Drosophila melanogaster: one gene and its partner. The protein of the gene in region 2 interacts with the protein of the main gene of each other region in a pairwise test. Each region holds a gene or a part of one and is shown on either strand. Other genes may lie near its edges.

What was found. The genes of interacting proteins can lie anywhere in the genome.
Region 1: the proteins of Tsp86D (region 2) and Gbs-70E interact in a two-hybrid assay, tested with the Drosophila melanogaster proteins (one large-scale study listed by BioGRID).

The regions. Positions count from the first base shown.
Region 1 is NT_037436.4:14,547,968-14,552,535, reverse strand, and holds the start of Gbs-70E (glycogen binding subunit 70E), read left to right. Parts: upstream 1-1,560; 5' UTR 1,561-1,999; intron 2,000-2,376; 5' UTR 2,377-2,446; coding exon 2,447-2,538; intron 2,539-4,568.
Region 2 is NT_033777.3:10,866,952-10,871,055, forward strand, and holds Tsp86D (tetraspanin 86D), read left to right. Parts: upstream 1-1,756; 5' UTR 1,757-2,081; coding exon 2,082-2,634; intron 2,635-2,691; coding exon 2,692-3,014; coding exon of another isoform or gene 3,015-3,089; 3' UTR 3,090-3,604; downstream 3,605-4,104. Other genes in the region: SelR (selenoprotein R), read right to left, coding at 1-25, 1,021-1,090; Fdh (formaldehyde dehydrogenase), read right to left, coding at 4,046-4,104.

The sequences.
Region 1 (4,568 bases), on a different chromosome or scaffold from region 2:
TACACCGAGCACGCACACCAAAAATAGAGCATAGATAAAACTCAAATACATATACAGTCTCTATATAAAGGAGGCCCAACCACAATTTCGAGTTCCGAATAGTCGAGCCTGAGACTGCATTTTTGAGCAGACTTGGTTGCATTCAGCGGTTTCCGCTTGTCTGGGACAGTTTTGATGTGGGTACGACAGATATCATGTGGGTCGAAACTGGCCTGAACTCTACATGCATAGATTGGAAAAGAAAAAGCGACGAGGAAAATCAATTTCAATGCTTCATTAGTTGAGTATTTGAAATTTTGAGCCTCTTACGCAGGTTTAGGTGTTGATTTCTATTTTAATAATGGCCTTACGCGCGAGTTTTATGGGATTGATGAGGAATTTTAAGCTATAATCACTAATGACTTGGACTATTTTTAATACGAATGCATTTATAATCAGCTGATAACTTATCAAAGCAGATAAAGTACTTTTTGAGACATAGACTTAGGTTTTATAGTATTTATTATTTATAAAAAATTTCAATTAATATAGTTGCATATTTTCCTTTTTTATTACCAAAATCGATTAAATTCGAAGAGCTTTTTATAAGTTCAGCAATGAAAATAGACTAAAAGTGTCTCATTCACGAGACCCTAATGGAAGGCCTAATTGATTTACATATGTCAGGGGAGCACCCTCACATAAAAGAAATGCGTGGGCAGACACATAAAACCAAAACCCACTCACAAATGAGTCGAGTGGTGAATAATGTCCCATATTCAATTGAGTGCGGAAGAGGCCCTTATAAATCTGTGTGTGAAATATCTTTTATAATAAAAAACAATTTAACTAATAATACCAATTCTAGTTCGTAAGGCTATAAATATTGAACTGAACAGACCAGAGGCTATAACCTATCGACTTCGATAAGATAAATATTTAAAAAGCTGAGACGGAAAAAGTGTTTGCCAAACTCCTTGAAATTCACTTGAGCGCCACGAGGCTCAGTGGGAAATTTGATTTTGGGAGATGGGATGCTTCCCGTGCATGTGATCATGTCTCGAGGGGCTGACACCCGTTTTGACTTTTGTCACCGCCAGTGGCGCCAAAACTAATCAAAGCAACTAGGACCGACGCTAAATCGAAACCACAACTACAATCACTGCGGAATACCAAAATGCAATCAAAATATGCAAGCCACGTCGATCAGGAGAGAGAGAGAGAGTGAGAGAGAGACCGGGGCTATTCTAGAAACCTAACGCGAGTTCAGAACGCTGAATTATGTATACCCTTTAAAGTACTAACAGAGCAGAAAACTTAACTGTTTTATGTGGTCGTTCATTAGTAGTAAAAATGGGATGATTTTATTTTATTCTGCTTTACTGTTATTTCTGTTTTCTGTTTTTATATACTGGCCTCTTGAATATATAACATTCTGATAACATTACAAACGCTCCACTAACATGTCTATATGTCTTGGAAGGGAATTCAAACAACCAATCTCTCTCTTTTTCTTTTTCTCTCTCTCTCTTTTTCTGTCGCCCCGATCAAGTCTTAACGGCAAGTTGCAGCAACAAACATTTTCATTCGTTTTCGCATCGTCGAAGCGTACGGTTCATAGGAGGAACGGAACGAAGCGGGGAACGCGACGGAAACTAGTTGCTGTTTTTTTGTCCGTGTTAAATAATTGACACAAGAAAATTTAGCTACACTTAAGCAAAGTCCGCGAAAAATCTATTAAAAATCGTTCGTCGTTTTGTGTGTGTGACCACGAAAAAAGTGCCCCGATCGGAGGATTTTAATAAATTCAATTAAGGTTCCGTCCCAACGATCGTTTTTCATTGTCTGACGCTCACGCGTGATGTACAAATGAAAAAGTAAAAATTTAAATAAGATCAAAGAAAGAAAGATCACAGTAAAATTTAAAGTGGATTGACTGCACAAGAAAAAGAAAAGTTCCTTACCTCCTAGCCAGAAGTCAAAAGTGAAGCGGAAAACAGAGTGGAGATAACAATTAACGGTTAGTTGTAAAGCTAAAACTACACAATAAACATATCATGAAAAACTTTATAAAACATAAGAAGGGGGGCATTTTATTATTTTGGGTATCAGCATTTACATCACCTTGTTTCGAATCAAACTGATTTTAACATGCATTTGGACCAAACTAACAACGTTTCGAATGTTATCTCTTATGGAAATGGTATTGCTATATTATACCATCATTAATTCCGATTCCACCTGAGATTAGCAATTAATATGAAATTTCATAAACATATATTATATATTCGGATCATGCATTCTATTTACACATTACTTTCCAATTAAACGTTCATTTATTGCCGCGCTTCGATTAGCAACAAAAACAAATCGTTAATTTTCTATATTTTTCCACAGGGGCTTCCATACCAAAGTTCCTTGTTTGTAGAGATCATTGTAATCAGCGCAGATCGAAGCCATATATAAAATGATTTCGCACAGTCCGCCCATATTCAGTCACAGTCCACCCGTTAGTTTTCTGGCGGACTTCATGAGCGGACATCCCCGTCAATCGTTGAAGTAAGTTTACAAAAGTATATAACTCATAAATAAATATAGCCAGCAATTGGACTAATTTAACACAGAATTGCTCTAAGTGAATCCACGAGTTTCGGCAGCCAATCAAAACAAATTAAATAGCCAAACATCATTGAAAGAGTACCAATTCTCAGGTTTTTTCATGTCGAAAGAAAATATTTTTTTAACTTTCTTATCGATTGATAAGGAACTAGAAGCATTTTCTGATGCATCATCTTTTATGAATTTAACAAGTGGTGTACGTGTTAATAAGAGAAACGATATAAATGTCTGATAACCTGAAAAACCATGTGATAGTAAATGAATTAAACTGAGAGATAAAAAATACATAACAGATAAAAATGATTAATACCCTTTTGCATTAGGCGTTCTCTCTGGCGAATATTTAAACAATAATTTTAAACATTCAAATTTAAAACAAATTTCAAAATACCCAAACATAACCCACATTAACAAAATAAACAGACCGGAATGCCGTAATTCCATTTAATGAATATAAGAACTCAGTTGTTTACACAATCCAGAAAAGGAATATTATCGATCTCTCGAGGGCTGCCCATATTGATTCACATGAAACACCTGTTTCAAGTGTCGTCTATGGAAATTTTAACACCTGATCAAAGGCAGGAAACATGTCTTACCCAATACATAGTATTAAAACCTGAGAACTATTCGAAAACACAATGAATGCAGGTACTAAAAATATTCGTGCTAAGGCTCGTTTTTGGTTGACAACAACAGATTGGCAAAATATGAAAAGCAAGCATTCAAGATCAAGGCAAGACAGAATACTGAACCAAAACAAACATTTCGCCGATTCTGAGGTGATCTTTCGCTGGTGGAGCCAACTGAGATTTGAAGATTCGTTCACGAGTCGTGGGGGTGACGCCAAAAATTTGCTTGGCGACAATTTGCGCGTGGCGCTTGACGCAACTTTTTTTCTCAGGGGCACACGAGCAAGCCGAAAATTTGACAAATTGGTAAAGGGAAGAAGGGTAATATCTATATATTATATTTATACAGAGGCGAGAGCAATTGATTGAATTAAAGCAATTTGCCGTGCTTCATTTGCTGCACGCGCTGCATTTTCATCATATTTGTTGAGAGTATTTTATTTTTGGGAATGATAAATATACAATACCGAAAATTCGTATAACTTATATTCGTATATATGAGGACTTCAGCTAAAAATAAATCTATATCTAGAGTATGGCCAAGCAAAACAAACGCTACAAGAACCGGTAAAAAACTAAATAATCAGTTAAGATTAAAGAGGTTCAGTAGATAAAACTGTGGGAGGTAATACATGCGAAAGCCCTACTGCGATCCCTACAACTATGAACATTTCTTATCGGGGCACGTGAGCGGCATGCCTTCAAACAAACCGAGTACTCCAACCAACTCAAGTAACTCAGCTGCTAATGCGTCAACTCACTTGAAATTTCACAGCGTGATTTTACAACAGTTTACCCCACCCAATACCTAGAACTACCCACGTAACTGGGCGGGTCGTCATCGAAAATGATTGAATTCTTTTGGTTGCCAACTCAAGCACTAAATATGCTGATATTGTCTCCAGACAGCGCCAATTAGCCAAAAAAAGTTGATGATAACAGCAGAGCAGACGGAAATGTTCCCATAGCCAGGCCCACGCCGAAAAAGACGTATCAGCATGCCGTCAACATATGTTTAGCATGCAAAAGTCCACGCGAACCCCATTGAACGATCCTTATCAACCATTGACTTTTAGTTTTATGAATGTCTAGCCGAAAAATTATGATAACTACAAATGGGATGTGAACTGTGCCAAATGAGTAAGACCAGCGAGTCTCTCCGACTATACAATTTTAGAAATGACTCACTGAAGAACCCAAACAAATATGCTTCATATTCATACTATACATTTCCCACCCACGGCAAACCCGAATTAAGTGAGGAGGTCGCGCGCAACTCCTCTTATCAGCGATGTTTCTTTATAGACAATATACACGTATCAGTAGGACTACACAAGT
Region 2 (4,104 bases):
GGATTGTCGCTGTCTTGGCGTGAATCTGGAATGCAATACAATACTTTGGTATTTGATTTGCGGTCGGGTCGGTTTGAGTGTGCTTTTCGGTTCGCCAGCAGTTGGGTAATGGAAACTGAGTAGGGGATTTCGTCAAGCTTCTGTAAGATTTCCCTCATAATCTGCCCACTTATCGGTGGGACTTTCAACGAAACCTTGGGCAATCTCAACTCGCTTATTTGAATGCGGCCATCTGACGATAAGAAGCTTACTACTATCAGCCATGAGTTGCTGAAAATACTTTCTCGAAACTCATAATCATCTTGTTTTCTCATACAAACGATACCATACCATTTATGAAAATGAATTATATGAAGAAAATTTTTGGCATTTTTGGAACCCAATTTGATAAGGAAATATATACATAAATATTCTTATTCCAATATTAAACAAAAGCTATATATAGCGTACAAAATATAGAAAATACTTATCATTTTCTTAAACAATTTGTTAACAATCTTGAAAACTCAAAATCAAAGTTGTGCATCCAGGGAATTAGTAACACCAATTTTGTATACAAACTTGCCTGCTAATTAATGAAGGTGTAAACAGATTTGTTAAGTGCGGCCAACAAATGGAGTGGAGAAACGCATTGGGCCAAAAATAGTTTTATGGCTTTTTATGCTGCTTGCCCGCCGTCAATCAAACGGAGTGGCGCCCAAAGCAAACGAAGGCGAAGGAAAAGCCGAAAAAAAAACCGAAAATCGAATAGCGTAGGTGGAGCAGTCACCTTTTATTTTCGGTTTTTCCGAGTGCAACAATAGAAAAGCCAGCCAAGTGTGTCGCGGGCAATTGAAGACAATGAATTCATTGCGAGCAAAGTCAGAAAATAGCGGCTAAATTGCGTTCATATAGAATGCAAATGTATAAAAAAATCAACTCAAATTGTGTCTAAAATTAGCCGATGGCCAATCGATGAGCATGGGCTGACACGCCCACAGGTATTACAAACTATACCTGCGACTTTTTAGTGCAACTCACCTGCGAAAAAGCGTGGAATGGCGAATATTCGAGTGCGCCGCAGTGCGTGGCGAGCAGAAAGTGCAAACATTATGTGGCTAATTTCAGGTGACAACTGCACTTGGCACTGCCTGGTTATTTAATCAGCACAGCAACAGGGGGAAAATGAGCAGAGCAAGGAGGAAAAGTCAATGTTTTGTCCACTGCGCACTGCCCACGCGTACTAACTAATATTTATGCAATTCGCGTTGCCACTTCCGTCTACCACATTTCCCACATTTTCCGTTCTATTTTCGTGCGCTTTTCTGCTTTTGAACGCTTGGCGAGGAGAAAGCGCAGTGCAGAGAAAGTCGCAACTCAATTAGGGAAAATGCGCTCGCAATTGTGCTTCAATGTCACCAGCGGAGAACCGAAAAGAAAAAACACTTAATTTTCCCACACTTAAATGGTGCGTCCTTGGGTTTTCTCTAAGCTGGAAAACTACTCACCTGCTGAATAGCGCTCTAAATGGTGCTGATTCTATTTTTGGCCTTTTGTTTATGAATGCGCCAAACGCGGGCGAAAACAAGCGTGCGTCGCAATGTTACGCAGCGGTGGAAAATTAAAAACTAATACAAAAAAAGCTGCTTGGGAAAACAGCTGCACGCGATGAAAATCAAACACCTGGCTGGCTCGCGTTGCCAATCGAATGCTGGATGATAGGCAACAAAGGCAGTACGGTCACGCGAACAGCTGACTGGCCGCGCTGCCAACTGCTGCCTAATTGGACAGCACGTCTGGCAACGCCGGGCACTTTGTTATTTTTAGTGGCTCCATAAATTTGCTTATCAGTCATAAAATTTAAGCTAGTGCGTTAATTCATCATATTCGCTGCGGGGAAACACCAGAGTTAGACAGTCCACCACTGACGCACTGCGAAACTATAGCAAAACAGCCGTGCAGGCCGCTGAAGAGACCACACGCAAAGAGGGCGTCAACAAAAAGAAAAAACCGTGGGGGAGGAAACCTGGGCAAAAATACCAGGAAAAGTAATACTCATCGAAATACTCGGCTGAAAACACGACTTGCACATTCGCGTGGCCATGAGCAATCACAGATACCATCAGGGGGGCAACTACATGCACCCGCGGATCTCCACCTATCCGCACCACTTCAGCTACGTTTCCTCTTGCGTCAAGTACATGATCTTCCTGCTAAACTTCCTCTTCTGGCTCTTCGGCGGCCTGCTCCTGGCCATCGGCGTGTACGCCTTCATGGACAAACTGATGGACGGCAATGGCTGGCTGCGCTTGGACACCATCTACGATGTGATCTTCAACATCTCCCTGGTGATGATCATCGCCGGAGTCATCGTCTTCACGGTCAGCTTCGCCGGCTGTTTGGGTGCGCTGCGCGAGAACACCTGGCTGCTAAAGCTGTACTCCATGTGCCTGCTTCTCTTCTTCATACTGGAGATGTCGCTGGCCATCATCTGCTTCGTTTTCCCGCAGTACATGAACTCGTTCCTCGAGTACCAGTTCACGGACAAAATCATCCACTCGTACCGTGACGACTCCGACTTGCAAAACTTCATCGACTTTGCCCAGCAGGAGTTTAACTGCTGCGGCCTGAGCAACGCCGGCTACCAGGATTGGAGTGAGTATTTGATTCATAAGCCACAAACGAATTAATTCCATGTCCGTATGCATACAGGCAAGAACGAGTACTTCAACTGCTCATCGCCGTCGGTGGAGAGATGTGGAGTGCCCTACAGCTGCTGTATTAATGCCACCGATATCAGCTCCGGCCTAGTGAACATCATGTGTGGCTATGGCGTGCAGGTGCGTTCAGTGGCCGCCGCCAGCAAGCGCATCTGGACCAGCGGCTGCATCGAGATCGTGCGAGTATGGGTCGAGAGGAATCTGTATGTGATTGCCGGCGTTGCCCTGGGCATAGCCTTGCTGCAGTTGTTCGTCATCTATTTGGCCAAGACCCTGGAGGGACAGATCGACCTGCAGAAGTCGCGCTGGTCGTGAGTGCAATGCCACCATCCGTATCTCTACGGATATCCGCCATGCGAAGACGACCCGTATTACAATTCGCGGATGTGAGGCGGACTTTTTTGGTCCTGCCCGTGCTCAAATAATTTCAAACCGAATCCCACTCCTAGAATAATCCATAGCTCCCTATATACCATCTCTTGTGTTTTCGATAGATTTAAGTTCTAATGTCCCGCGATAATAGTATTTCAATAGTATTCTCATACTCTCCTAGGCTTAGGAAAAAGTATTTATACTCCTTTGTGTTCGTTTGCTCTGTATGTTTTTTAAACGTCAGCGCATTCTTAGTCACAAGTAAAGTCGAACACATCTAAAGTTTTACTCTTATACGTATGCAATATCAGACTATTTAAAAGACACTTGTGTATAAGCTAGCGAGTTCCATAAGAAATATGCATTTAAAATGAGATTTATATGTAACGACGAAACCAAAACTGCATGCATGTTTGTTAAATTGAAAAACATACTAGATACATAGACTTATTATCATTTTTAAGTATCTGTACGCGTGTTTGTCTGCAAACGTTGTTGTAGTGCGTATTTAAATACAGGCATTCTATACGTGTAATCGTGACTTTTTCATATGGTGAAAACAGCACAAAGTACCTGTCTTATCGCTCCACTTGGTTATTCCAATCTTGTTCTTACGATTGACCTTTAATCTACAACTTTCGGGGCCTTAGGGGATGTCCGGCAGTGAGTTTAGTTTGGGTCATCAGATAACTCTATCAATCTATAACAATGTTGCGAAATTCTTGAAATATACATACGTATTAAGTAACCGCAATCTCGAACAATTCCAAGTTGTTGAACTTCGAGATTTAGTGGGGCAGTGCAGATAAGCAAATCCAAGCAATTATGAGGAGTAAGCGCGAGAGGGACAGTAATCCGACCCCCAATGAAGATACTCTTATGTACATATACACTGGGAGTTTATTATTTTAAGCAATCGCATGCGATTGCCAACTTGTATAAAAAGTGAAAAGCAAAGAATTGTTATCTCATGCTTAGTACTTAATAATGGATCGGATACTCTCGCCCTTGTGCATCAGATCGAATGCCTCGT